Linked DNA regions of Xenopus tropicalis. The protein of the gene in region 2 interacts with the protein of the main gene of each other region in a biochemical or structural test. Links are inferred from orthologs where the notes say so. Each region holds a gene or a part of one and is shown on either strand. Other genes may lie near its edges.

Region 1 (4,407 bases), on a different chromosome or scaffold from region 2:
GAGGCAGAATGCTGTTCTACCTTCATAAATATCAATGTTCTAACATCTCATGGAAAGCCTTTCTAGAAGTGTAGTGGGCAAAAGCAGTTTTAGCAGCAAAGAGAGGACCAACTTCCTATTAATTCCCTTAGGTCTTAATGGACATGTCAACCCCAAAAATAATTTTTTGCCTAATAAAAGAAAACATAATTCCAAGCAACTTTCCAATTGAATTGAGTGAATTTATTGAACATGTTTAACAGTTATTTGTAAATGTAATTGCTATTGAAAGCAGCATTTGCTAAACCCTGGTTGTTACTTTTTAAACAATGTTGCAAAGGTCGGTCTCCTCCAGCGAGTCAGGTCTGTCATTCTGCTGCCTTGTGTTACATTGTTTCAGGAGTCAGAGCCACCAGTGCAGAGAATAGAGAAGGACAGGCAAACACTACTTCTTATAGCAATTTTATGTGTAATGAATGTATACTGCAATGTTGTTTAGAATGATATTTTCTTTTATAAGGCAAAAAATTATATTTTGGGTTGAATTGTTATTTAAATGGCATGCTAGACATGGTAGGCAAACTCCTGTGCAATATTTTGGACATCTACTTGCAAGGCAGACCTGATAACATAACAAAAGTGGCCTTATGGTTAAACAGAACTAAAACTTGTCCTTACCATTAAAGCCTTCCCAATGGAATAGAGGCTGTTATAGCAGCAAAGGGCAACCAAAATCCTATTAATACCCTTCATTTTGGAATGAGATAGTGGACAGGCAATTGTCGCCACCACTGTATATTATAATTATATATATTTATCCTTCATTTATTCATTGTTCACAAAACAGTAATTGAGACCTCAGTAGCTTACTCCCATTGATTTGTACTTTCCTTGTGTTCCCGTGAACGCAGGTACACAGACTACCAGTGAGGGCTCTACCTTTAGTGAATGATCCTATCAAGGGATACGAACACAACATTAAGGATATATAGTGGGTACAGTTATAGGGTTAACCTACTGTAAGAAAACAGGGGGTAACCAGGGGCTCTAGGATTCCACAAGAACCGCAAAAATCAAAGTAAAAAAACATGTTTATTAAATATTACATTAAAAGATCTCCAGTGACTCTGTGTGTTTCATGACCCCAAGGGCACTTAGTCATGGGCATCCTTGCGTGCCTGGATCCCCCCCCTGTTTTCTTGCTGTTGGTTAATCCGCTCTCTGAACTGAGGGACCGTTGCTCCTGGACCACCTTCTCTACATGGTGAGTTTTTTTAAACTGTGGTCTCCTGTGGCCCTTTATGTTTTTGTATTACAGTTGTAAAGGGCCACTTTCCGGAGGTTTAAAAACAATATTTAGTCACCTGTTCATTGCATCTCAAAGTACCCTGAATGCTACAGTCTTACAAATGTAGGAAAAAGTATAATGACAGCCTTGGCCACATCAATTGCATGTCAATATAACATCATAAATTCTATATACATTCATACATTATTTGATACTCTTTTGAAATGTGAAAAATTAGAAAAAAACAGGAAGGTTTCTGTTTATAAGTTGTTGTGATCTACTGACAACTCCAGATCTACTGTCCAGTTATGAACTGTCTTCCATGCAACAGGAAGATTCATTAACAGAGCTGGGACCCCTGGATCTACAGGTATTGGACCCATTATCCAGAATGCTCGGGACCTGGGGTTTTCTGGATAAGGGGTCTTTTTGTAATTTGAATCTCCTACCTTAAGTCTACTAAAAAAAATATTTAAACAGTAATTAAACCCAATAGGATGGTTTTGGCTCTAATAATGATTAATTATATCTGTTGGGATGGAATACAAGGTACTGTTTTATTATTACAGAGAAAAGGGAATCATTTAACCATGAAATAAACCCAATAGGGCTGTTCTGCCCCCAATAAGGGGTAATTATATCTTAGTTGGGATCAAGTACAGGTACTGTTTTATTATTACAGAGAAAAGGGAATCATTTAACCATTAAATAAACCCAATAGGGCTGTTCTGCCCCCAATAAGGGGTAATTATATCTTAGTTGGGGTCAAGTACAGGTACTGTTTTATTATTACAGAGAAAAGGGAATCATTTAACCATTAAATAAACCCAATAGGGCTGTTCTGCCCCCAATAAGGGGTAATTATATCTTAGTTGGGATGGAATACAAGGTACTGTTTTATTATTACAGAGAAAAAGGAAACTATTTTTAAAAATGTGAATTATTTGATTAATTGAGTCTGTGGGAGATGGCCTTTCCGTAATTCTGTAATTTTTAACTTTCTTGATAATTGGTTTGTGGATAAGGGATCCATACCTGTACTACCAAATCTAGACCTGCAGATCAGTTATGAACTATCTTCTTGGTACCACTGCACTGACTACCTTTCTATTTCTCTTTTATGTATAACTGATAGAAGATAGAAACTAAGGAAAAAGGAGGGATAAAGGATTTGGCAGTAGGAAGGCTGAGGGCCGTCTAATTAAAACTAAAGATCCTGAATGTATTGGATGTAAGTCCAGAAAGTAAGTAAAACCCGCATCTGGTTTATGTATTGTGCCTAAGCCAAAACATTTTCCAGTATGGAAAACAAGTGCCACTAGCGGGTATATTCTCTCTGCTGTTGTGGTTCTGTTACATTAAGTGCTCTTTGTCTTTCAAGATACAATAACATGTCTTCCCAGGCAGTGCTGTATACAGTAGTTATACTCTGACAAAAAAACAAAAATATACAGTCTTTTTGCTGCATCCATGCCATTCATGTTACATAATAAATCATTGGTTTTACATTTTGTGTCCACGTACTTTCAGCTGCAAGAATGCTTTCTTCACCGGTGCCCTAGATCCCTGGCACCACCCCATCACTTGTTACCATAGCAGCTCTGAAATTAATATCTAGACAATGCAAGCACATCTTCTTAATGATTCTTCAGATCCTGCATTTGTATTCATATAGAATATCTAACTCCCTTTGTTTGTTGTTTAGTCTTCCGCCATTGTCTGTAAGTATTAAATCCCTCAGTTGTGGACATTAGGGTTTAGAATTTAGCTATCAGTGGCATATTTGGGTTTTATCCCCCTAACCAGTGATGCTGCTTTGAATACACTGTTAGCAGCTGTCTTGTAGACTTTGTTTTTAATATGAAGCAGATTAAATGATGCTGTTTATAACAAAAATAGAACATATGAGCAAATGTAGGGGGGTGCCCTTTTCATAACTGGAATTGCCTAAACTATATAGCATTGCTGACACAGGGGCCACATCATCATGGGATTCTTTATAATGTCAAGCCTCATACTTTGTGGCAACAGTTTCTGCACAATAATGCCCATATTCACAAAGTGAGGACAGCACAGAAAGCCTTTCTAGAAGTGTAACGGGCTAAGAGGACCAACTTCTTATTCATTCCCTTAATTCTTAAATGTCCAGATACATTGGCCATTTGACGTATCTGCTTCCAAGAAAATGTCTTTTACATGTTCCTCTATCTCAGTTCAAGTCAAGACAACTTAATGTTGCATGATTCTCTTTATCTTGCTCTAGATTGCTCTAGATCGCGATGGCCAGGATCTGGTTGCCACTCTTGGCTCTCCTGTCATTGGCTGCCCATTTCTGTACACTTCAGGCTGAGGAATGTTCCATAAGGAAACTCTTCAATGCTAATGATGAAAAATTCTGCAGGTGAGACATTTTGCAGAAATGAGTCCAGAAATAATGAGCCACAGATTGTGTTTCCTGCCCTACCTCCATCCTCTTTGCTTCCCTGTTGTGGTTTTTCATGCCGTTATTTATCCTTTATTTCTCATCCTTCTTTTGCCTTGCAGTAAAGATTTAGATGTCATATATCCAGATATTGGCCGCGTGTCCTGCATCTATATCCCCAACTGTTTTGACTTTCCTCGGAGCCTCATTAAAGTGTGGGATTATCCTCTCCTCAGATACTCCAAAGCCCAGCCGGTAAGTATACGTAAATCATGGAAAGTGCTTTTTTATTTTCCACCAAAAAATGTTAGCAAGTTTTGGAAGCACAGACACACTGTTTTACCCCAAACAGAGCTTCCAGCAGGCCAGCAGTCCCCATGGGGCTGGCCAATCACAGCCCTTATTTAGCATCCCCAAAAAACGTTTTCATGCTTGTGTGGCTTCCTAACACTTCTTTATATCTGAGTGTGGCTCATGAGTAAAAAAGATTGGGGATCCCTGCTCAATACCATGCATATGATAAATAGGAGAGTACTGGGCATTTTGAAGTTCAAAAATATCAGCAATTCTTTACCACTGAATAAAAAAAAAAAGTTTGCTGAGTCCTAAATTTTTCACTTGTTTTTTTTTTCATTTTGCCCTATTTATAGAAGTACATGCCCAATAACCACAACAGAACTCAAAACTGTTTTGTCAGTGCAGACCTATGTCATTTTGT
Region 2 (3,098 bases):
TTCAGGAGGCTTCTGGCTCTGCTTGCTGAGAAGCACCCCCTACCTACCTACCTACCTACCCTTCCTGGATACGACTTACCCCTCTCCTGTGCCACTGCTCACAGCCCAGTAACTTCTTTCCTTTGCTCTTAGATAATATTTCTGGTTGGACGAGGAGGGACGGTCCCCGACCTGAGTAAGCTCTACAAGAACTGCCCCAAGGCAATGAAGCGTCTCGTGGCCGATTGTATCAAAAAAATGCGGGAGGAGCGCCCCCTATTCCCTCAGGTGAGGTGCATAGACCTGCATTGCTCTATTGTACAGTGCCCCCCAATGTCTGGGTACTGTATCTGTAACCTTGTTATGGGCTAAGGGGGCCCAGCCTGAAGGCCAGTTAGGGGGGGATTTGGGGTGAGTGGGTATTTGTGCCCTGGGTACCCCTGGAACTATAGCGGGGTGACTGTTACCCCAATGTTTCTATATATCTGTAACCTTGTTATGGGCTAAGGGGGCCCAGCCTGAAGGCCAGTTAGGGGGGGATTTGGGGTGAGTGCTTATTTGTGCCCTGGGTACCCCTGGAACTATAGCGGGGTGACTGTTACCCCAATGTTTCTATATATCTGTAACCTTGTTATGGGCTAAGGGGGCCCAGCCTGAAGGCCAGTTAGGGGGGATTTGGGGTGAGTGCTTATTTGTGCCCTGGGTACCCTGGAACTATAGCGGGGTGACTGTTACCCCAATGTTTCTATATATCTGTAACCTTGTTATGGGCTAAGGGGGCCCAGCCTGAAGGCCAGTTAGGGGGGGATTTGGGGTGAGTGCTGTGCCCTGGGTACCCCTGGAACTATAGCGGGGTGACTGTTACCCCAATGTTTCTATATATCTGTAACCTTGTTATGGGCTAAGGGGGCCCAGCCTGAAGGCCAGTTAGGGGGGGATTTGGGGTGAGTGCTTATTTGTGCCCTGGGTACCCCTGGAACTATAGCGGGGTGACTGTTACCCCAATGTTTCTATATATCTGTAACCTTGTTATGGGCTAAGGGGGCCCAGCCTGAAGGCCAGTTAGGGGGGGATTTGGGGTGAGTGCTTATTTGTGCCCTGGGTACCCCTGGAACTATAGCGGGGTGACCGTTACCCCAATGTTCACTGCCAGAAGGCTAGCTATGTTCATATGATGTGCCAGGCTATAGGTGGCAGTGCCACACAGTATAACATGGCAATATATTTATTTTCTGTGCCAGATCCTCTCATCTATTGAGCTGTTACAACACTCGTTACCCAAAATCAATCGCAGCGCTTCGGAGCCGTCGTTACACCGCGCCGCACACACAGAGGACATCAATTCCTGCACACTGACTTCCACCCGGCTGGCAGTTTTCTGAGGGGACAGTTGCTGTGACTGTGGCACCATCACCAAATTCTCCCCCCACGCCAAGTGCTTTATCCCAAAGGGGAGATTGTCCAGTGTGTCAGGCAGGGGCCCCTGAGCCCCAGGATATCGCCACTGTGCTTCCAGTCTCACTGTGTGACACCCCATCATAAACTGCTGCCCCCCTGTGGGTTGGCCTCCCAGCTCCTATAGTCACTGCGCAATAATCTCGGCCCCCGGAGCTTCCAGACCTGGAATTTTCTTCATTTCTGAAATCCCAGATGAACTCGGGGGGGGGGGAATTTTCTCTGTGGCAGAAGCAGCGCTGGGGGTGGGTGTGGAATGGCCTGGGGGGTCCTTAATAGACTTGATTTGCACATCAGTTCATGTACGGGCGGGGGGGTCCCTGTGTTCCTATACAGCAGCGGCACAATGGGAATTGGGTTTGGTTCCGTCTATCGCAGGAAAGCCCTGGAGGTCTCTGTGCCCAGTGGGGACGTTGGTGCAGAACCCGGCGGGGGGCCCAATACACCAATGTACATACAAGGTCCGACTGAGATCCCAGATGCGCACTATAAGGGGAATCGGAGTGATACCGTTTGTTATTATATGATTTGGGTTTTAATTGGTTCTTTTACTGCTTCTCAGCAGCTGCCTCTATTGGCTGATTTGCCTTTTTGTTATAAATTAAATGCGTCTTACATTTTATTTACATTCTGTTTCCCGTCATCCAGCTGGGGGGGGCACAGGGCAGGCTGTGAGAGGGGTTTGGCTATAGTGGGGTACCCCAGTAGTGCCGGGCTGGGAGGTGCCAACATACCTGTGCAGAACATTAGCCAAGTAAGCACGGGCAGAGAGTCTGGTTACAGGAGAAAATATAAAGTGGATAATGTACCCCCTACTGTAAATGATAAGGATATTAGCAGTCACTGAGGGGTTCTGTGCCCCCCATATAAAGGCACAAGGCTGCAGGCTGAGTTATACAGGGAACTCTGAGTATCACTCATGTATTATAAGGGATAATGTACCACCCCCTCCCTCCCCCCCCCCAACCATAGAGGAGCGGTGTCTCGGTTTCTAAGACCATTGGAAATGTGTTTTCTGATGGTCTTAGGCGACCCCTGTGAAAGGGTCATTCTACCCCCAAAGGAGTCCCGACCCCCAGGTTGAGAACCGCTGTTCTAAGGGCAGTCAGGTTATGGGGTTCCCTACCAAGAGAGGGGGAATGAGTGATACATTGGGGGTGGGGAGGAAAGGGGATCTCACCATCAGCATAGGAAGGGGCTCCTTACTGTAAGGGCAGTCAGGTTATGGGATTCCCTACCAAGAGAGGGGGAATAAGTGATACATTGGGGGTGGGGAGGAAAGGGGATCTCACCATCAGCATAGGAAGGGGTTCCTTACTGTAAGGGCAGTCAGGTTATGGGATTCCTTACCAAGAGAGGGGGAATGAGTGATACATTGGGGGTGGGGAGGAAAGGGGATCTCACCATCAGCATAGGAAGGGGCTCCTTACTGTAAGGGCAGTCAGGTTATGGGGTTCCCTACCCAGAGAGGGGGAATGAGTGATACATTGGGGGTGGGGAGGAAAGGGGATCTCACCATCAGCATAGGAAGGGGTTCCTTACTGTAAGGGCAGTCAGGTTATGGGATTCCTTACCAAGAGAGGGGGAATGAGTGATACATTGGGGGTGGGGAGGAAAGGGGATCTCACCATCAGCATAGGAAGGGGTTCCTTACTGTAAGGGCA
Region 3 (4,868 bases), about 120 Mb from region 2:
ATTAAACTACCACGTAGCACTTGTCACTGCCTGATGAACTGAAGAAGCATGACTGCTGAACTAACCTAACCAGTCTTCACTTTGCCCGTAAGCAATACACAAAACTGATGATAATTACAGTTGCAGATGTAAATATTGTTATACAAATTGCAGGACACAATTTAGTATTATTACCCTTTGTTTATATAGTGCCAAAACATTTACACTGCACAGTTATTGTGTCTAATTCACATAATTTCCTGATCCTTGATCCCAATTAATAAGAGAAGAAAGGTAAAAATATGCAAAGGCTGGTATTTTCTCCAGAAACGTGGCAACCCTAAATGGAGAATATCAGTGGCATATCTAGTGTGCACCAGTCCCACCACCACAAAAATATCTTCAGAGGCTGCTTCCTATATAGTTATAAAGTCTTCCCATCCCGCTTGCAAGTATCAGAGGGGCTGGGGAGGGAAGACTTTGCAACTATATAGGAAGCAGACTGCAGTCTGCTTTCTCTATATTTACACCACTGAGGTATATGTCAACGGCCATGCGCCCCAATTGTGCTCCTTGTAGTCTACTGTCTGTAGTCTGCCCTATTGCTGAGTATTTTGGGTGCATTTTCCATGGCAAGGGTTAGCTTTAAGCCAGGTAAACAGAGAGCAGGATAACTCCAAAATATTTAATGCATTAACAGGTCTCACACAAAGGGGCATAACTAAAAGGGAAGCTGGAGGCCATTTGGACACTGACTTAAAAGGCATGTGTACCTTGAATGTGAAACATTGAGGTTTGCTATGTTCCTTTTATTATGTTTCAATAAATATTGACTTTTTACACCTATATTCTAAATCCTGTGATTGCTGACATTACTTTTACTATACTTTGATCATACGGCTCTTGCACCCAGGTCCTGACTCTGTTAGTGGAGTGCACCATTATGTCCTCTGACTATATGATTATATACGAAAAATGTTAAACTCCCAAAGTACTTTTAGTTATGCCACTACAGACACACTAAATTCACTGCAGTGATGCACAGCACTTCATTTGCAGTTAAAAAGCTATTATTTTTTCATGGCTCAGTCAGATCAAAAATACTACACACTACTCCCAATTTCATCAGGAGGCAGAAGCCAGGTAAGCTGTCTGTGTGCTTTTCCAACGTGTAAGGAAATGAGAGGTTTATCTGTTGGATTTATTGCCCTTAATGTCTTGTATGTGTAAGGTTGCTGAGCACTGAAATGCTTTCAGTGCTCAGTGCTACCTTTCACAACAGTTTGCATAGAAACTACTTCACGTTTAGCCTTGCAGCATGGAGGGAATTCTCCAGCCAATCATTAGTACAGGACTCAGAGGGTCCCGCCCACACAGCCGAAAAACAGGAAGAGGAAGCAAAACAAGGGGACAGGGAGAAAAGCAGTACTGGAAGACAGAGGCTGCTGGAGAGATAATATCAGAATCCAGGGGGAAGCAGTGTGCAGCCGTCTGGGAGTTGCTTCCTTCAGTTTCCTGGACGTTTTGTGTGTGTGTACAAGGCATCAGCAGCCAGTGTGAGCCTGTGCAGCAGCCGGACAGCCATCTTGACAGGGAGAGAGAGCTACAGTGAGAATAGGAAGCAGGGTTCCTTCTGAACCGAGTTATTTAACCCCTACCATGCCAGTGACACTGGGATTTCTGCAACCAGCCATTTAGCTGTGAGTCTGTGTTAGGTCTATGGACTGGGGAGTCCCTATGTTGCTGGATGTTTCCACAGCACTCGGAAGTGTCTCCATGATTTACTATAGCTGCCGCCTGCTAGGGTTCCATTGAGCAAGTGGAGCAGCTGAGGCGACTTCAGGGATTAAACTGTGAGCTCATCAGCACTCCAGCAGAGTAAGTAGGGCTTCCAGCCCAGCCTTTCACACATCTGACTGCACCCAAGGGAAGCCCTTACTGCCGTCACAGTGGGACACAGGAGAGCTGCTACCTTGGGGCAAGTTGAGCAACTTACCTTAGGTGGCAGCACCCGACAAATTGCCAGGGGTGGTAAAAAGACTCCTGGTAACTTATAAAAATCGGAATTTTAGTGCAGAGATCACTATTATGCTCTCTGCACTAGTGATTCAGCCCCCATCAACTTTCTCCAACGCAAAAAAAAAACAAAACATGGGGGGGGCTGGCATCACCTTGGCCGCCCCAGGTTGGCACTGAGCCCGAGACGGCGCTGCATCTGCATCCTGTGTTTCCTCCACACTAACAGACAAAACTATTTTCCCTAGTATAGCTTTCAACACATAGCAGAATCTGTCTTTCCAGAGAGCCTGTTGTTTAGGCTGCTGGTGCCATTTGCAGCACCTTAAACTCTCGTTAAAGGGCCCCACCCCGTTAGTATGCACTATAGCCAGCTGACAAGGAGTTGGGAACTTAGGTGTGCGCACAAGGAAGTTGGTAGGTTCATATAAGTACTGTTCTCAAGGTGTTGTTATAACCTTGTCAGTAAGGTATTATGCTATCTGACCACTTCCGCCTATATCACTGTGTAACCAAAGTGTCAGTGTCTGGTTTGACCTTCTCAGTTCAGCCAATCATACCTGATGCCTGCTAGTATGGATGTCACCTTTAAATTCACCTTTAGTTTTGTGTAGACAGTGGTATTTTGAGGCAATTTACAACTAATATTCACAATTTTCAGTTCCTTTTTTAATCATTTAGCTTTTTGTTTGTTGGACTAAACACTAAAAAGGTGGCCATACATCCTTTAGACAGAATCGGAAGCTTATTTGCCCATGTATTAGCATGAACGACGGGCCAGATCTCGATCGGGCAGATTTGATTTTTCTGTTAGATCGGGGACCACATTGGCTTGTTAATGTGGTCCACGAACCTAAGGCGCCTATTCCCACTGTTTTAATTCCATTGTTTGGCTCTAGGGCCAAACAACTGAATTAGCCCGATATCACCCACCCCATAGGTGGGCATATCAGGAGAAGATCCACTCTCTTGGCAATCTCTCCCAAACACTGTAGCACAGTGCAACAAGTGAGTGTATTCACTAAACAAAAGGTGTGGTGATTGGTCATTGTACTTCCTACTTTAATATGAAGCTTTTTTTTATATAGGTATAATTTTATTAACAACAGACAGACATTTATGCCAAACATTTGCAGAATACATTAGTTTTAGTTGGTTGGCCAGTGATACAACCATACTATGTGCAAATAGAGATATGCATATCACTTTGGTTATAGTACATGTTATGTAGGTTCAGTCCAGTCCTGCTTCAATCCACGGGGTCCAAATCAGGTCAAATTTAGTCTGTGTTCCTCTCGCTTCTGAGGTAAGATTAATTAGTGGGATTGCCTGGTTTACCAGTTGTTTCCATGATTTTATGGTCAGTAGATGTGGTCCCATCCAGTGCATGGCAATATGAAGCTTTTTAATGCTTAATTTATTAAATATAATTTTGTATGCTAGAAAAAAAGAGCTACTTTCTGTATTCTTTTTAATCCAGATTCATCCTCCAAAAAAATCAATGTTCCTTCCCAAATATTTTACAATCATTGTCATCAGTCTGAAAAATGATTTCATTTTTTAGGTTCTTGTAGTCCTATATCTCATTACAGAAGTGAATAACGCAAGCATTCACAAAATCATAGGCTGTCCTTGAAGAAAAAGAAGCCAATAAACTATATATAGTTTCCCTAGGTAAATTAAACACCCTCATAAAAAGTTCCCACTGAATTTAAAAGCGCAAATGAGGCATTGGAATTAAAAAAAGCCTTAACTTCTGCCACATTTAGTAACCCGTAGCAGCCAGTAGAAGCTACCTTGCTTGCTATGGGTTACTAGACAAATATCAAACACTGTGACAGGACTGATGCTGTTACATTTTAAATGAGACATGTGGAAACAGCTTAGGTTTATCAAAATAGAAATTAGCAGTATATATGTATGTATAACTCCCTGAAATTATTCTGTTCTTTTTTAGATGGCAGATTCATCCCCTTCAGCAGTTTTCAAGTTAGAGGAATTCGATAATGAGGAACAGGGATTACCTTTGCCTTTTGTGGATCCCCCTCGTGGGGCAGGCGTTCGACAACCTGTAGCTAAGAGTTCTCCCAGCCTGCGAAGATACCCAGGTGATCTTCTGCCAAGAAAATATGTATTTCATCTTTCTTCATAAGCATTATGCCATCTGTAATATTGAAATCTGACTTGCTATAAGATAAAATATATAGGCAGGCAGTGACTTCTGGAAAGTATGTTGTAAATGTCTTAGTGATAAATAAAGGGTAATAATAACAGTGCTGCTAGCAGCCGTTTTAAACTAGTAAGTGAATTATAGCATATACTGAAATAGTTGTACCCCTGTAAACAACAAAAGCATAATTAATAATACTACCTCTATCACAGGGAAGGAGTCACGTTTACGCACTGAGTCTGCTTCAGAGTCCAGTGAGACAGACAAAGTGGGCGAGCTCCATCCTTTCCGTTCCCGTTCCCGTTCTGCTCCGTCTTCAATGATCGCTACAAAATATGGACGGGAGTTAAGAAGAATGAGTGATGAATTTGAAAAAAGCTTCACGGTAACAATTTAACTGTCACAATTATATTTATCATTTAATACTTCAGAAAGGGAGTATCTCTGTTCCTAATAGTTTTTCCAATGCAACAAAATGAGTGGTACTTTCTTTGGTTTATGGCTTCCAGCTTCCTGGATTTTTTTTTTTTTAACTTACAACTCACAAACACCTCACTTTGTGCTTTTAAAGTTGGTGGAAGAAACACTTCTGCCCCTCTCTGCTCTGTACCTGTGCACATTTACCAAAATGTAATCCTCAGTGCTCACACTGAACAAATCTTAGCCAGAAAACAGTTGTGTGTATTTTGTGGCCAAGATCCAC
Region 4 (4,407 bases), on a different chromosome or scaffold from region 2:
TTAAGCATTTACTAAGCAAATTTCTGTGAATGGACAAGAATATCAGCTTCAGTTGGTAGATACTGCTGGACAGGTAAGCGGCTCTTTGCTTAATCATGTTGCAGTAAAAGGGATAGCAGTGCGAAAATATATTTTGCTTTTAGTTGGAGCTGTTTTATACAGACATACAGGTACTTTATATAGTGTCAGTGTTTGATTATCTGTTAGATTGGATATGCTGGTTTCATAATGTTAATGTTACATTAAAAATGGTGGGCAGGAAAAAAAAATGAGCCAGCAGGAGAAAATACATTTGTGCCACAAATGGAGCCTTATTACGGCAGTTTTAGCAGAAGCCAATAGGGCTGGGTATTTCTGCAAGTGCTTAGTTCTGCCGGCTTCAGATTGAACAGAGCGTGCGCTGGGGGCTGGAGGGGAGCCGGGCAGTGTAGAATGTGCCTGACAAGATTGGCAAAGTAGATCTTGTGTTTGTGCAGCCATTAGTTGTGTCTGGCAAATCTCATCTTTTTGTTTCTTTCTTAATTTATCATTAACCTTGATCTGTGTGCTTCCTTTCAGGATGAGTTTTCCATAATTCCTCAGACATACTCCATAGATATTAATGGATACATTCTTGTATATTCAGTCACATCAATTAAAAGGTAAGGCTGTTGTTTTTGAACCGCATGTTTGATATACTGCTATACAGTAAAGACAGTGCTTGGGAGTATGGGAGGTAGTGTGGTGCTGACTTGGTGTAGTCAGAGATAATCTTCCTTGTGCTATGAGCCTTGGGCAGAATACTATAGAGAGCTTGTGTCCGTTCAACCCCAAGACGTGTCGCTCAAATACAAAACCATTACTTTCAGTTTGACTTGGCACACCGCTGTTTGTGTTGGAATGGTCCAACGCTGCAGAAGCACATGTCCTTTTTGGGTTATTTACTGTTGGCCAGTAAAATATGACTATTCTTGCCAAGACCTTTGAATATTATGATAGTTCTTTGGTTTCTTATTGGTAGTGTGACATTCAAAGGGAAATATTTAAAATTATTCTGCTGTTGGGTTTGTGGGGCTCAGAATTCCTGACAGGCAGCTTATTGCAAGTAAATGTCAGGGTGAGGAAAAACTTCATATCAGGGGATGTGAAATTGAGCTTTCGCTGTATTATTAATTACTCAAACCTTTTAATGAACTAGAAGTGAGGATTTGAACTTAAAGGTCTGAAAACCTCTAATAATGTCCACGTTATTTATGCCATATGTGATTTCATGCTTATTCATTTCTTCCTTTTCAGTTTCGAGGTGATTAAAGTTATCCATGAGAAGTTGTTGGATATGGTGGGAAAAGTTCAGTAAGTTTTCCTTTTTTTGATTTACTACTTATTTTTTTTTATTTTAATTGCATACTACCTTTATTTTGTAATACTTATCTGCCGTTTGCTTTGTTTTAGAGTACCCATTATGTTGGTTGGAAACAAAAAAGACTTGCATATGGAAAGGTTTGTGGTGAATTTAACACTTCCATGTTCTGCTAACTGAAATGTTTATTATGTATATTATGTTTTAGCAAATGAAATAAATCACAGGTTTTCTTGCAGAAAAACTGCAACACTAAACAAGTTTTAGTTCTTCCTCAAACCGCAATACCTTTTTTAACAGAGCAACCCACTAATGGCATGGTCAATACACTTATCTGTTACACTTATCTTATCTTACAATACACTTTTCTGTTGGTCTGTATGTATTAAACCATTTTGGCAGCTAATAATTGTTTGTCAATGTTAATATAAAAGAGTTAAAAAGGAATGATCTCTTTTCATTCTTTTTTTACAGATAAGTATGTGTTCCAAAATTGTGCTTATAGGCAAGCACACAAGTGCTTGCTTTATTCACGATTGTCCTGTGATATTCACATGCTTTAAATATTTAATATAGGGTGATAAGCTATGAAGAAGGAAAGTCATTGGCTGAATCTTGGAATGCTGCTTTTTTGGAATCCTCTGCTAAAGAAAATCAGGTAAGCTTAACAAGTTGAGTGAGTGGAATATATCCATAAAATGTGGTACCTTTTTGGTATATTTTCAATGTCCTGGTGCTGACAGAATACCATGTTATGTGCCGTACAGACACCTCCGTAATGATGCTGCCATCCATAGGGGATATAGTACAAACAGGGGGCCAAACATTACTATAACTAAAAATGTATATGCACAGTAACTAAAATATATACAGTAACATATTAAGTGGATATGTTGAGAGAAAGGAGGTACCTGCCCTGCAGAGCTTAAAATCCAAGATGAAAAATGGCAGCTCTGTTACCACAAATGAAGGCTTGCCCAGGTGTTTTCAGATTCACAAAATTAAAACCAGGGTTTTTAAACCAGGTAAACAAGTTTAGGAATGTCTGTTAAAGGCCCTATTAGTCACATGGGCAAGACAGCATCTAGTTCTTAGCTGTTACTGCTTCTGTTTGTAAGATGATATGATTTATTTTTAAAGGAAAGGGAAGACTTGGATTTGCAACCCTGCTACTGTTAAGAGTATGGGCATATGGGGCATATGGTGCTTTTCTCAGCCTGCGTTTTGAATGGAGGTTGAGAAAAGCATGTTACAATCTGCAGCTTCCTGTAGCTCTGCAGACAGGCACTGGGTCAGCCTCTGTGCAGCTACACTGAGTGGACTTTGGCCTGAGAAATGCAAAAGCACACCTTTTCCAGCCAAAATCTGCTCAGTGTGGCTGCACATAGGCCAACCCAGTTTCTGCCTGGAGCTACACAGCTGTAAAGGGGAGCAGATCCTCTTTTCTACGGGTGCACAGGAGATGCAGACTGAGAAATGTATATCACACAACCTGTGTGCCCAGTGATCACAGGGTCAGCAAAGCATATAAGGATGCAACAGTCTTTCACAGCAAGAAAAAAATTACTAACGGGGAAGTGGCCAAGAAAATCTTGATTTTGGGTGGTTTGGGGGTTAAATGCAAGGGTAAACCTGTTAAGATTTGGGTAGGAGTTAGAAAATTGGGGTGTATAAAAACTAACTCTGTGCCCAGGGCTCTCTGCTACAGCCCCTATATCTACCACAACACTAATGTGTTTTCCAAGTCACTCTGATTACAGATGATTTTATAGGTTGAAAACCCTAGTTTTTAAAATTATCCTAAAAAAACAAATGTAAAAGTTCTCTTTAGTCTTTTTTTCTGCACTAACGCCTATTTGTTCCGCTTTCCCATACAGACTGCAGTTGATGTTTTTAAAAGGATAATATTGGAGGCAGAAAAGATTGATGGCGGGTCTTCACAAGGGAAGTCGTCATGTTCTGTAATGTAATTCCACTACACAAGACGCGGACACTGGGAATATATTCTACTTGAATAAGCAAACTGCCTGTTCTACTTCAAAACTATGCTTTTCTGTTAACTATTTCCATGCCAGAGGAGCCAGGTGTTTCCTGTACTTGTCTCCTCTGGCAAGCAAAGGTTTAACAATGGTAAGGTATGGATGGTCACAGCCTTCTTTTCTTTTTTTTATGGTTTTTCTTCAGATTGTCATAATCTGACTTCTGTGCAGATGATTTCACTGCCATCTTCAAAATGTCTCAATCACAAACCTCTTCAATTTGTATATCATATTTCTTAATATTATGGCCAAGACTTTTACTGGCATTAATTTTTCATTGTAGTTTGTTTATAATATTGTAATCATACAGATGATACATATTGTTACATTACTCTTACTTAACCAGGCTTGAATGTCAGTGTTTCTTTCATTGTTCAATGTAAACTTGTAAATAAAACAGCTGCAGACCTTACAGGTTCCTTTGTATGTGTTCTACAATGAACTCACTAAGGAGTTTATTGTAGAAAAAGAATTGAATTGTCCCTTTTGAAGAACAGGTTGGGGGAAAAAGCTACCTGGGGAGAAGGGTAAATGAGTGAAGAAGCACTGCAGTTCCAGTAGTACGGTTATATAGGGCTGCTAGTTAGGGGTCAGGAGACGTATTATTATATGGGACTGGTATATGCAGTGTGAGAAAAGGAACTGGCCTCTTTCCTGGAAAGAAACCCAGGATTCTTTGTAAAGGAACTAGGAATTGAAAGGAGCGATTTGCTCCTTCAAGGTTTAAAGAAATGGATAAGAAGGAATGTATTTGGCTTCTTTCCACCCATAGGAATGTGCCCTTGCAATTAACTGTATCAACTGTAAATCTCTTCTTAAAACGAAACGTGTATTTGGAAACATTCTATTAATATCCCAAATTCCTGCATTCATAGAGCAGTAAGAGGGGCTTCACGGGGATATTCTTAGGTTTGTAGGGAATGCCACATATTATCAACATATATTATATAACCCTTCCTAACTGAATATATTCTAAAACATACGCTGAAAACGGCAAACACAGTTGAACTATTTCTTCCAAGAAACAAA
Region 5 (3,623 bases), about 39 Mb from region 2:
CCTACAGTACAAGCTAAGGATAGGCTGGGGCATATGGTAAAAATATTGCTTAGCAAAATGGGCACCAATCTATTCAGAGAGATATAACCATATATTTTATAGAAAGAGCAAATGTGTACAACTGAAACACCAGTTTCAGTTTGCTTTAACAAATTCTTTATTTATTTTTTGTTATTGGAGGCTGGTAATATTGTGCATTTTCCAGCAATACAGACTGACTGGCAGAATTTTGTTAACTGAATGCTTTACTACATGATTCTATACCACCTTTGCTGATTACCTGTATCACTAATTTTGCCATCTACAGAATGACTTACAGATACCTTGGCCCAGGTCACTTCTCTTACATCCAGAATGAAACATTATTACCTTCCCTACATCCCCTGTTTCATTCTGCCTCATTGTAGATGAACTTGCAGATGCAACCCTGCACTCTCTGCCGTTTGACGCAATTCTTTTGTGCCATTGATTTGCTATGAAAGCTGCAAATCAATGTACTGTAGCCGAATAAAAGCGATTTCATACTTCTCACAAAAGAAGCCATGTCATTATAGATATTGTCTCAGTAACTGGGGGATAGATCTGCTTTATGATGCCCTTAAGTTCATGAAATAACTGAGAAGCCATTCTAGTAGTCAATACGGCAACCTTTTATTGAATGTGCTGTATTATAGCTTTGATGTCTGGGAACTGGAAATATTTTGAAGTGACATGCAACTCTCTGAAATGCAACATTAGAACATGTAGGTCTCATGCAGACAGGAATACCTGGGTTTGCTTCAATATGTTCTGTTTTGAAATTGTATATTGAAACTGCACATCATTTCAGGGCCACCCAACAGTCTCAGGGTCTGAGTCCCCTTTTGTTGGACCCCTGTTGTGCCAGAAGGTTATGTTGTGCCACAGGTTGCCTTTGATAAGGATAAAATTCATGCATAGACATCAGAAATATTGCACTAGATACATCTAGGATGTGGTGCATCTTACACCAAAGGGGCATTTACTAATGCTCAAATTTTTTGCCATTCAGGTTTCTTGGCACCAAAATACAAGCTTTTCATTTTTTTTTGCAATTCATTATGTGACAAAGCTGCAACAAATCCGAAAGCAACAATATGCCATCTAAAACCTGCTGAGAAGTCAATGGCAGATGTCCCTTTTACAAATGGAAGATATTTCTTTGCTTTGTGGTTTTAGAGGTTTTTGTTTTTTTTGACGCTGTCATTTGTGCCACAATACAAAAAAAAAAAAGTTTTTGCATTTTTTTCTGCATCTTTTTTTGTTCATGGTTCTTCAGTTCGGATCTTTTTAAGAATGACTGATATTCGTGGAAATGAGTTAAGTTGTAGTTTAAAAAAACCTTTAAAACCACAAAAATCCAAATGCTGATAAATGCCCCCCTAGAGTGGTGATTTTAGACTTTGAATGTGAAAGGGTGGGCTGTATTTTAAGCGCAAGCTGAGCAAGCTAAGGAATCTAGTCACTGAGGTCAAATGATATAATAAATATTCTATGTCTTAGGTTGAAGCCATGATGAAGACTCTCTCCAGTGGGAACTGCACACTCAGTGTCCCAGCTAAAAACTCTTATCGGATGGTTGTCCTTGGGGCATCCAGAGTTGGCAAGAGTGCCATCGTTTCTCGCTTCTTGAACGGACGATTTGAAGACCAATACACACCGACCATTGAGGATTTTCATCGCAAGCTGTACAACATCAGAGGAGACATGTACCAGCTAGACATTCTAGATACATCTGGAAACCATCCATTCCCAGCCATGAGGAGGCTATCGATTCTCACAGGTAGGTGCACAGACAGATTGGGCTAAACATGAACACAATTATTATTGTAGGTAATGCACAGTGGTACTGACATTTTAGACTGGTACTAAAATGCACCACAGCAGTTGCCTATAGCAACCAATCAGATCCTTGATTTCCTTTTGTAACTGATCAAAATTATTTTTTTCTATGAAATGATGTTATTAGGAGTTATATGGTGGAAATGGTCCCAGTAGCAACTGTAAATTTTCATTAAGCACAAATTCATAATCTTGAACTTTTCTGCAGAATTCCCAAGCAAAAAAGGGACTGAAACTTTAATAGGTGAAAGGCCCCCTCCTGGCCTCTCTCCTTGCAGCAGTACCAGTGCCTATTCCATAGTTTAGGTGTGATGTCCAAGGAGTAAAAAAAATCTGATCGCTAAGGTGATGACATAAACATATCCTGAGAGAGTATTTAGTGTGACAGAATATAAACATTCATACACATGCTATTTTTGTTTCTATAGGGAGGATGTTTTGGAATGCTATATATCACTAGAAAATGAAAGAAAACCAGCATAGTGAGCTGTGACAGTAACACTTAAAGCTCCTCATTCTCCATCCAGTCATTGTTCTGCACTTAATAGAATCCAAGGGGAGTACTAGAACAATCTTAAAAATCAGGAACCAACACTATTAATGATAGCCAGGATTCTTCTGACTTCTGCTCACACTGAGTCAAGTGGCTCCTCAGCTGGTGGTTCAGCATAGCAACTGGTCCAATACACTTGTCAGCTCTTTGTTGTGATTGGTTTGCAATTCCCACTATTTCCTTGTTACCCGTTAACAATTTGATTGCAAGGGATACATCAAGGTCTGCTATGTGCGAATTAGTCTGCTATGTGTGAAAAAAGTAGCTCTGGACTAGAAAGATTGGAAAGCTGGGAGGCTGCAAGTAGATGGATGAAAGATAGATGGAAATGTAATTTAGGAAGACAGGGAGTTTCAGTACAACTATGTGTGGGAATATTCCAGATGACAGAAGAGCTTAGGAACTGTAGATCAGCTACCACTGCAGACACGTCCTGAATGAAGGGATTGGGACTGCATAATTATATGTCTGCCCTTTAGGCAATAGAAACAGCAGCTCTTGTGGGGATATAGAGGGTACAGGGATATTCACGACTGATGGGCAATTGTAATAAACATGTGCAAAATATATCATCTTCTGAAAAGAGTTGGGGGCCACAAAAAAATTTGCATTTGTGACTAGACTCTTTTAGTTACTCCACTGGTGGCCATGTGTATTTTACTAAAAAGACTGGTGACATAAATAGGGGCATATAGTGTGACTTTGTGCAGCAAAAAGTCAGAAGTGTGAGCAAATAGCAGCAACTGATGGGGAGAATATGAAGGAAAGGTTTATGAGGACATGTTTGTGCATGTGTATATCAGCCAATACTTGCCTGTGATAGGTAAACTGAGCCAGACACCTTAAGCTTCGGGACAAGTGTAACCAATTCAGGAACCACCAGACCTGCTTTTATGCAAAATGACAGGAATTTTGGCATTGCCAATTCTGATTCAACCCTAACCCTTTTGCCAGCACAAAAGAATTGAGAATGGGGTGATTGTAAAGCTTGTATGTGCCCCTCAGTTATGTTACATTCAATCATTAATTACTCCAGCAGCTAATGGTTGGGTATATGTAAGAGCTAACAAGAAGACATGTGCCAGCAGTGGAGAACACAGTCTAACTCCAACATCTTCTGTCTTTCCAGGTGATGTGTTCATCCTTGTTTTCAGCCTGGACAACCGGGACTCCTTTGATGAAGTAAAGAGGCTTAGAAAGCAAATTTTGG
Region 6 (3,629 bases), on a different chromosome or scaffold from region 2:
TCAAACTGACCTTCAGGTGTTTTGATAGTCAAGTTTTGTTTCTGAACCATGAGTGGGTTTGTGCTCCATATAAATGCAATTAACTTGAAGGATCTGTAGGCCAGCTGGTTCTTCTAGTGTCTCCAAGCCTTGGAATTAGAGGAGTCACATGACAGTGTTTGTTAGCCAGCACAGCTGCACAATTTGACATTCGACCAATCAACTAATTGGGAATTCCCCAAGGCCTCAATCTAACTAATCCAAATCAAAAGCTTTCATGTGACCTGGGATTATTTAGACACATTGGAATAATAGATGCTCTCGGTTTTTGTTATGTAAACCTTATCATTAGTAGTGGAAGATTAACAGATTAACTTCCTGCAGACGGGAAAACACTTTCATGTAATATCTGTGGCAATTTTGATTTATATATCAGGGTGGTGTATAATTTTACAGGTAACCTGCAAATAAAAAAACCTAAAGCACTTATTTCTCCATTCAGACACATCTGACCTTTGGCAAGGAGTTCACAGAGGCCGTAGAAGCCAAACAGGTGGCCCAGCAGGAAGCGGAGCGTGCCAGGTTCATTGTGGAGAAGGTACATGAGTGATCATTTAGTAAAAGCCAAAGTTAATGGGTTACAGGAAACAGATGTATAGATAACTAAATGGTATGAAAATGTTTGTTTCACTATCAGTATTCCACAAGACATATTGCCTGTATGTATATGTACAGGAGTGTATGTATATGTACAGGTTTGTATGTATACTGATGTAGCACTGAACAATTATATGCATGTTTTGTAGGGTTTGCGCAGGAGTAAAATATTTATATTCCCAAAAGAAGTGTGTTTCAGATCAATCAAGATATATACTGTCCATAATGGAATATGCCAACCCTTTTTGTAATAAAGCGGAACTCCACCCAAAAACAAACTAATCTCTTTGAAAAGTAAACATAATTTGAAGCAACATTGCAAAATACATCCGTAGTCGACTGTCCTCAGCCTGCATCCTCCAAATCCCACAGTTCCCTGCACACGTCGTCAATAAGGAAAGGAACATTGCAGTGCAATGCATTGTGGGTTATGTAGTTCCTGTATGCTCTCTAAGCTTTGGAGAAGTTATTACAAATTGTAACATCAATGATTTAGTCCCTCCTCCCCTGCCAGGATTTCACATGATGCAGAAAGAGAAGAACTGTGTTGTAGCTGAATGTTAGCATATAAAGATGGTATTTATTCATACAGTTCGAAGGAACAGATTACAGTCATAGGTATATTAGGGGTTTCTGTGTTGTGTGGAGCTCTTTAACAAATTTTAGTTCGTAAGCCAAAGTTCCACCTTAAAGGAACAGCTCAGTGTAAAAATGAAACTGGTAAAATAGACTGCGCAAAATAAAAAATGTTTTTAATATGACTAGTTAAGCAAAAATGTATTCTATAAAGGCTGGAGTGAGCAGATGAACATAATAGCCAGTACACTACTTCCTCCTTTACAGCACTCTAAGCTGTTACCAGTTGGTAACCAATCAGTGATATGAGGGGGGGGGCATATGGGACATAACTGAACTGTTCAGTTAGTTTGCTTTTTAATCTGACCCCCTGGTCGTCCCCCCCACCCCCTCTTCCAAAGTTAGTGACAGACTAAGGTTAGAGTGCTGAAAGCAGGAAGTAAAGTTCTGGCTATTATGTTAGACATCTGCCCACTCCAGTCTTTATAGCAGGGGTCCTCAACCTTTCTTACTTGTGAGCAACATTCAAATGTAAAAAGACTTGGGGAGCAACACAAGCACCATAAAAGTTAATGGAGGAGCCAAATAAGGGCTGTGATTGGCTATTAGGCAGCCTCTATGCACACTATCAGCTTACAGGGGCTTTATTTGGTAGGAAATCTTGTTTTTATTCAACCAAAACTTGCCCCCAAGTCAGGAATTCAAAATAACTCCCTGGTTTGGGGGCACTGAGAGCAACACCCAAGGGATTGGGGAGCAACATGTTGCCCCTGAGCCACTGGTTGGGGATAACTGCTTTTATAGATTACATTTTTGCCTAACTAACTATATTACAAATATTTTTTATTTTGCACAGTCCATCTATTTTACCCGGTTTCATTTTTACACTGAACTTTTCCTTTAAGGGATTATTGTGCCTGCCTTCATAGTTCCTATTGCTAAATGAGATGACTGAAATCTTACCAATTACTTTGTATCTCCTTTCCAGGCTGAGCAGCAAAAGAAAGCTGCAGTGATTTCTGCAGAAGGGGACTCCAAGGCAGCAGAGCTCATTGCGACGTCACTGGCGGATGCAGGAGATGGGCTTATCGAGCTGCGCAAACTGGAGGCCGCAGAGGACATCGCGTACCAGCTGTCTCGAGCTCGTAATGTCACCTACCTTCCCTCAGGACAGTCAACATTATTACAGCTACCACAGTAATTGGATGATGTGTTGTCATGCCATTTATTTTTTTTTACGTCTGACCCCTACATAGGTCTTTGTTAATTGGCCAATTTCCCTTGGGAAATGTTACAGAAGATTGTGTATGAAGGTGAATCTCCTACAGAGCCCACATAATACCCTACATGAAATGGACTTTAGCCACAGAACTGTTTGAATCCTGCCAATATATTTCTGAATTTGAATTGAATATAATTGTATTTTCAATGGAGGGCATAATACATTTTTGGTTGAAGCACTTGTTTATGTCTAAACCTAAAATCTGGCCTTCTGTCACTAACAATAAAAGTTATCCCTCAGAGGATATTTCAATAATGACATTGTATTATGAGTCAGATTACTTATGTAGGGATGATCATGTGTTAATCACCTATGAGATGTAACTTTGGGGGCCCAGGCCCTCCCTAAAATTGTTTGTTTCTGGACCACCATCCCCTTGGCCAAAACTGTGCCCCCCCCTCCCACGCAGCCATAGGGTGTATTCCTAGACCTAGAGTACAAGAGAGATTTGTGTAAAATGTAAAGGGATAGTGACTAAAATCTAGCAGGAAAGTGTCACTGTGGCTTTACTAAGCAGCCTGGTTTTAAGCTTGTGATTCCCTCGGGTCACCCTGTCACGTATTGACTAAAGTCACTGAGACAACATAGCTAGATAGTGAGTTTTCTGTTCTTTATCATTTTCTTCCTTCCCTCTACACACTTCACATTCTCTGCCTTTGCTCAGATACTTTTCTGCACCCCATCACCATAGCAAAAAGATCCCTTTTAAAGGAGAAAGAAAGGTAAAAACTAAGTAAGCTTTATCAGAAAGGTCTTTATCAGCCATAAGCACTCACAGAAACGCTGCACTGAGTTCACTGTCAAAAGATTTGTTGTGTCCGTTTTCCTCTCCCAGAGACACGCAGCTCTCTGCTCTCTCCTGCTCCCCCTCCCTCAAGAATGCTAAGAACTCACTCCCCCCCTTAGGAATGTGGATCTGAGCCAATCAGCAGGAAGCTGGCTCATAGTCTAACTATCTGAGCATGTACACTTGGTCTGGGTCTCGGTGCAGAGTGAGGCATTATGGGAACTTTCTTTACACAGCTCAGCATTTTTTCTTCCTGTCTGGCTTCTGATCTTCTGAACAGGTAAAATATGGGGAGACTTAAGGGCACTATTGAGAGAACTGAAGGTATGCCTGCAGCTTGAGATTAAC
Region 7 (5,152 bases), on a different chromosome or scaffold from region 2:
TTTTATTTTATATGCAATAAAGTTATAAAAAAAGTTATAGTCCATGCAACATTCTATGGGTGCCATGAGCAGTATTAAATCGTTGCATCACAGTTTGCATTATGTCAAAATGTAACATAAGCTCAGCTGAGTTTCAAATGCAAAAGAAAAAGGATAAACCTTTAAAAGGAGGCCAAAGGTTTTGGTAGGTGTGGTAGGATTGGTAGGTCTGGGTTGTGTGTGCTGGGTTTACATGGATGGGTTGAACTTGATAGACTCTGGTCTTTTTTCAACCCTATGTAACTATGTAACTATAGGTCATGCTGATCATGTTTTGCTGATCATTGTTATGAAAGATGTAAGAAGGGTTTCATTTCTGGTGTCAGTATCTCTTAAAGGGGGCACAGCAACTAAAGTTGCTATACATCTGTGCAACCTTTGCGGCTGTAGCATGTTCAATAAATAGTATGCTATTCATGGTGAGAATGGCACGCACAGATCCCTACCATTAGATTTAACTGGGTTCCATGTGTGGGAAATAGCTACTCCCTGCGACAGAAGCATGTAATGCACAAAGGGTTCAGCATGCGTCATTTCTGGGTTCCCCCAAAGCAAATAATACCAAACAGGGCTCAGCATTCTGGATAAACCACTTGGGATGCTGGGAAACAAATGACAACCAAAAGTTGTTGAAGGAGTGCAATGGATGTATGTCTCAAATTTTGGCACAACTGGGTTGTGTTGTGCTGGTGCAGACATCTCTTAAGTGGGTTTGTGCCTTATAAAGGTACTCATTTTTTTAAAGGTGTACAATATATATATTGAAATAGTTATGATTTGATTTCTAGCACTAAGTATCAGAGAAACACAGCTGCAAAAAGTGAATAATGAGTTTATTAACCCCAGACTTGCCAGTAATAACACTGTAAAAAAGGACAATGAACACTTCATTAAATCCAGACAAGCCACAATCAAAGAAGAAAATGACCTATGAGTACAATAACCCCAAACACACCAGCAAAATCACTGCAGAAAATGAATAGAGTGAAAGAATAATATCACCCACATCCACACAAGCGTAATACCACAAACTGTTCTTCTCTCCCAGTGCTCCTATACTGCTTGTCTCTCTCTGCCTTTCTCTGCTTAGCTGAAAATGCTACATAAAGATTGCCAAACATTCCACATAAATGGCACAGCCTTATTAAGATAAGTAGTTTTCAGCAGCAGGTGTCAGTGATATTCTCCCAGTACCCTGTGGGAAAGTCCGACCCTGGAGTCGCTGTGCCATTTAATGCTGTTGGTTACTGTGCAACTACCCATCCCTCCGCATAAATCAGATTTGCAGAGGGAGGCCAGGGAGACTATAAGGGTTACAGTGAAGAGAGATCTCCACCCTTTTAGAAGTGCCACAGATTCCTCAGCAGATTTACAACAGAGTTCTATGAATTCTGCTGAAAATCCACCACTAGTAGTTACTTGCAGTGCCCAATCTGTGGTTGATTCTGGTTTGTATAGATAATGTTGTGGCTTGCTAGTGGTCAGTCAGTTAAGGTATCATGCCCATAATGTCCCAGTCTGAAACTGTATGAACCTTAGGGACAGGCAGGCATGCCAGGGATTTACTTACACTGTGGGTACAATTCTGAATAGTGAGCTTTGTACATTATTAATATATTATAAACAAGCCTCAGCAAGTGCTGGGATGGATATTATCCACTTTCAAAGCAGCATACAGGTTTAACCCTTCACACATGCTGTGTAGTAGCTGTTTAACCCTTCAACAGGGGCTGCTGTAAAGTGGCACAAGCTGACACTTGTTTATGCCAATGCCTTAGTGTACTCACATAATGTATGTTTAATCTCTGCTTGGCCATTCCCAGAGATTTCAGTAAGGCACAGAATAAATAAAGCCACACAAAGCCTCAGTAAATAGCAAAATTCTCTACTTTATTCTAATCTTCTAAACTGGTGCCAAGATGGGTTTGGCTGGGCGCAGCGACCAATGAAACTGGCAGAGCCGAGGGTGCGGCTCCCTTTAGTTGCAGGCACAGAAGAGCGACAGCAGCCAGAAGAACGCAGAAGTTGCACAGTGGCCGCTGCTTTGCTACTAGTTGTAGTAGTAGTTATCAACCCCAAGATGCTAGTGGATATTTCCCAGTGGAACGGACCCCTGGCTCTACAAGAGGTGGAGGAGCAGCCAAAATACCCCCTGAAAGTCGCTTTTGGATCTGTTTGCGTGGAGGAGTTGGGGCAAGTGCTGACACCCACCCAGGTACACTTTGTAGTGCTCGTAGGGCAGGCAAGCGTTCAGGCTGAGACCCCCATCACCCTGTAACTATCACTCACCTTGATGTAAAGTTTGGTTCAGCGCAGAGCTAAACTAATAGGGATGTGTATAAGGAGGAAACTGAATTAGTTCTGAATTTGAAAAATTCGATTTACCTTACAAATATCGTAGTACTACTAAGTAAAAATGTATAATTCTGTGCAGAAAACACCTGTCTTTTTTAGTAAATCTGAGCAGTTTGGGGGAGATAATTACCTAGCTATGGACACTTGCACAGGGGAGTGTAAACAGTTGGTCATTGTCCTCCCTTTATCTCATGAAGCAGCACTTGTGCCATGTTTTCAGCTCTCTTTGTACCACAGTAAGTAGGTAGGTGTGCATGTATGGTAACTAATCATAGTGGTCATTTGTAAAAGCACCAGAGGCAAATACAGGATTACTAAAGGTGGCCACACACGTAGCAATAACGATCGTGACGTTCAGGGCTGAATCGTCAGATATGGAGGTAGAAACAATAGAAATTCTACCTCCACCTGCCAATTAAGCCCTAAATGTAGATTTGAATCAAAATCTTTGAACCTGGCCGATCGACAAGACAACCGATATCCGTAGCCTTTGCGATATTGATCGCCTGTTTGAGCTGCCATACACACACTGAATATCATACGATATTCAATACAATATCGGTGCGTGTCTGGCCAGCTTTAGAATGTGTCCCCCTCCCCACCATCCAGGGGCGGGCCAAGCCGACCGGGCACCCTAGGCAACCCGGTTGGCCACCTGACCCCCCCCCCTTCCATGCTCTGTTACACATGCGTAGTTGGGGGAGGGGGTGCGAGGGTCATTGCCCCCACCGCTAATTACAAGCGACGGGGGCAATGACAAAGGAGGAGGACTAGGAGTAGGCAGGAGAGGCTCACCACCTTGTGCAGACCTTTGTGCTGGAGGATATAAGGATCCCTGTCATTACCATCTACGATAGGTCACACTATGGGGTTGATTCACTAAAGTGCGATAAAACGAGCGCTATTTATAGCATGCATTAAAAATGTTATCGCTTCTTATTTTTTGTGACTTAACGCTCGATTCGCTAAAAGGACAGGCGTCATAATTAAGACACAATGTTCTTTGCGTTATTTAACTTGCGATGAACGTTTTTCTTGAGTTAATTCCCGCCACATGTGTTATTTCCCGCTGCGCGCAATATATTTCGCCGCTTGCTATATTAGCACATAATTTTACGCACGTAACCATTACTTTTGGAAAACTACTGTTCTGATAATTACCGTTTCCCTGAAAACTGGAGGCTGCATCACTATAGGGCCAACACATACTTGAAAAAATCCCACTGCAAAGTCCATGTTGTGTTGCCAAAAGCTCACGAACCACAATTATCTTTAAAGTGGACCTATCACCCAGACATAAAAGCTGTATAATAAAAGTCCTTTTCAAATTAAACATGAAACCCAAATTCATTGTTATATTAACACATCCAAACCCATTATAAAGGCATTTAAAAATCCCAGCTGTCAATCATATATTGCTTGCCCCGCCTCTGTGCCTAAGGCATAGAGGCGGGGCAGCCAATAACTTTAGCTTTCCGTTCAGCACTACCTAGATGTCACTGCACATCTCACTTTCCCCCTCCCTCCTCCTCATCTAATTGTATAGCCAGTGCATGGGCCTGGGTATCAGGTCCCCCATTCTGGCACATAAACAAGATTTTGGCATGATACAAAGCTTGTCTTCATAACTGTGTCCACAAAATGGTGCCTGCCTGCTTGCTTTGATCGAGTAATTCCACAACGGAATGAAACAAGATTTATATTATTTATATAGAGTAAGTAAAGTTTATTTTGCACAACTAACAATATACAAAATAATTTGGAGTTATTTCTTAGGGTGACAGGTCCCCTTTAAGTACCGCCTGCCTCAAGTAGGTGTTAATATTCGCACAGACTAATGCGATATTTAGCGCGTTTAATGCTTCATATGTGTTTGTGAATCATGCATTAGTATTATTTCTATGCAAGAATTAACCCAATGGGAGGTAAATAACACATTGCATTTTTTTGTGCATGCGATATGCATCTTAATGCATGCGAAATTACTTTGATGAATCAGGACTTAATTATCACATGCTTTTTAACGCAAAAAAGCATGTGATAAGCATTATCAACCTTTAGTGAATGGGCCTCTATATGTACAGGGCTCCCTTGCACCCTGTGCCTTCCATGGTCTCCTAGTTAGGAGCCAATTGGCACATTGCAAGTGCAGAGAGCACAGTCGCTTCCTGTTTTATATAACTGGCTTTTTTTTGCCTTATGGCTGGATCAACCCTGTGCCCACACCTAGCCCAGCCAGTAAATCACCATTTAGGGCCAGGCTGCAATTATAAATTTACTGGCAATAAATGTGTAATACTCTATAAAGCCACACCTTCCTTGACCCTCTCCGGTGCAGGATACCCACTTATAAAGATAGACCCACCTATGCCCTGACCATTTTCCCACCCATTCCATCCATTTCCTCTCCCAGTCTATTTCCCCACCCCGTTTGCCCATTTCCCTGCCCTGTGATGTAAATGTCCCACCTCCGTGTGAAGTCACCACCCAATGACCAGTATTATTTTACAAAAAAGTTGGCAACCCTACCCACCCCTCATGAATATAGCACTGCAGGAGCCGTACCGTAAATTTGTGCAGTCCACACATTCTTGTGTGCACACTAGTTGGGGCCATTCATTTGAAAATTACCTGCACTGTCCTGATTTGCCAGACCATTTTTTGTATCTTTTGTGTTACCATTAGTTTCTTTTCTCCATGGAAAAGACCAGATCCTTACAACTTTGGGTTGACATAGTAGTCCAGACTGGGATACAAA

The links.
Region 1: the proteins of raf1 (region 2) and pebp4 form a complex in vitro, tested with the Homo sapiens proteins (2 studies listed by BioGRID). The link is inferred for Xenopus tropicalis from reciprocal best matches to the Homo sapiens genes RAF1 and PEBP4.
Region 3: of the proteins of raf1 (region 2) and bad, one has a biochemical effect on the other in vitro, tested with the Homo sapiens proteins (2 studies listed by BioGRID). The link is inferred for Xenopus tropicalis from reciprocal best matches to the Homo sapiens genes RAF1 and BAD.
Region 4: the proteins of raf1 (region 2) and rheb form a complex in vitro, tested with the Homo sapiens proteins (3 studies listed by BioGRID and IntAct). The link is inferred for Xenopus tropicalis from reciprocal best matches to the Homo sapiens genes RAF1 and RHEB.
Region 5: the proteins of raf1 (region 2) and rasd2 form a complex in vitro, tested with the Homo sapiens proteins (2 studies listed by BioGRID). The link is inferred for Xenopus tropicalis from reciprocal best matches to the Homo sapiens genes RAF1 and RASD2.
Region 6: the proteins of raf1 (region 2) and phb form a complex in vitro, tested with the Homo sapiens proteins (2 studies listed by BioGRID). The link is inferred for Xenopus tropicalis from reciprocal best matches to the Homo sapiens genes RAF1 and PHB1.
Region 7: the proteins of raf1 (region 2) and pebp1.1 form a complex in vitro, tested with the Homo sapiens proteins (3 studies listed by BioGRID and IntAct, with this or other methods). The link is inferred for Xenopus tropicalis from reciprocal best matches to the Homo sapiens genes RAF1 and PEBP1.

Annotation. Positions count from the first base shown.
Region 1 is NC_030679.2:130,094,783-130,099,189, reverse strand, and holds part of pebp4 (phosphatidylethanolamine-binding protein 4), read left to right. Parts: intron 1-1,147; exon of another isoform or gene 1,148-1,243; intron 1,244-1,520; exon of another isoform or gene 1,521-1,637; intron 1,638-2,402; 5' UTR 2,403-2,511; intron 2,512-2,912; exon of another isoform or gene 2,913-2,988; intron 2,989-3,530; 5' UTR 3,531-3,546; coding exon 3,547-3,668; intron 3,669-3,811; coding exon 3,812-3,944; intron 3,945-4,407. UniProt on the Homo sapiens protein: Promotes AKT phosphorylation, suggesting a possible role in the PI3K-AKT signaling pathway.
Region 2 is NC_030680.2:153,471,344-153,474,441, forward strand, and holds the end of raf1 (RAF proto-oncogene serine/threonine-protein kinase), read left to right. Parts: intron 1-132; coding exon 133-267; intron 268-1,220; coding exon 1,221-1,361; 3' UTR 1,362-2,060; downstream 2,061-3,098. UniProt on the Homo sapiens protein: Serine/threonine-protein kinase that acts as a regulatory link between the membrane-associated Ras GTPases and the MAPK/ERK cascade, and this critical regulatory link functions as a switch determining cell fate decisions including proliferation, differentiation, apoptosis, survival and oncogenic transformation.
Region 3 is NC_030680.2:35,248,659-35,253,526, forward strand, and holds the start of bad (bcl2-associated agonist of cell death), read left to right. Parts: upstream 1-1,352; 5' UTR 1,353-1,857; intron 1,858-3,952; coding exon 3,953-4,103; intron 4,104-4,377; coding exon 4,378-4,550; intron 4,551-4,868. UniProt on the Homo sapiens protein: Promotes cell death. Successfully competes for the binding to Bcl-X(L), Bcl-2 and Bcl-W, thereby affecting the level of heterodimerization of these proteins with BAX. Can reverse the death repressor activity of Bcl-X(L), but not that of Bcl-2.
Region 4 is NC_030682.2:14,441,028-14,445,434, reverse strand, and holds the end of rheb (GTP-binding protein Rheb), read left to right. Parts: intron 1-5; coding exon 6-73; intron 74-558; coding exon 559-641; intron 642-1,275; coding exon 1,276-1,332; intron 1,333-1,431; coding exon 1,432-1,479; intron 1,480-1,915; coding exon 1,916-1,997; intron 1,998-3,216; coding exon 3,217-3,309; 3' UTR 3,310-3,421; downstream 3,422-4,407. UniProt on the Homo sapiens protein: Small GTPase that acts as an allosteric activator of the canonical mTORC1 complex, an evolutionarily conserved central nutrient sensor that stimulates anabolic reactions and macromolecule biosynthesis to promote cellular biomass generation and growth.
Region 5 is NC_030680.2:114,844,183-114,847,805, reverse strand, and holds part of rasd2 (GTP-binding protein Rhes), read left to right. Parts: exon of another isoform or gene 1-1,521; 5' UTR 1,522-1,530; coding exon 1,531-1,801; exon of another isoform or gene 1,802-1,823; intron 1,824-3,542; coding exon 3,543-3,623. UniProt on the Homo sapiens protein: GTPase signaling protein that binds to and hydrolyzes GTP. Regulates signaling pathways involving G-proteins-coupled receptor and heterotrimeric proteins such as GNB1, GNB2 and GNB3.
Region 6 is NC_030686.2:14,011,412-14,015,040, reverse strand, and holds the end of phb (prohibitin), read left to right. Parts: intron 1-481; coding exon 482-577; intron 578-2,200; coding exon 2,201-2,413; 3' UTR 2,414-2,752; downstream 2,753-3,629.
Region 7 is NC_030677.2:165,331,626-165,336,777, forward strand, and holds the start of pebp1.1 (phosphatidylethanolamine-binding protein 1), read left to right. Parts: upstream 1-2,034; 5' UTR 2,035-2,119; coding exon 2,120-2,254; intron 2,255-5,152.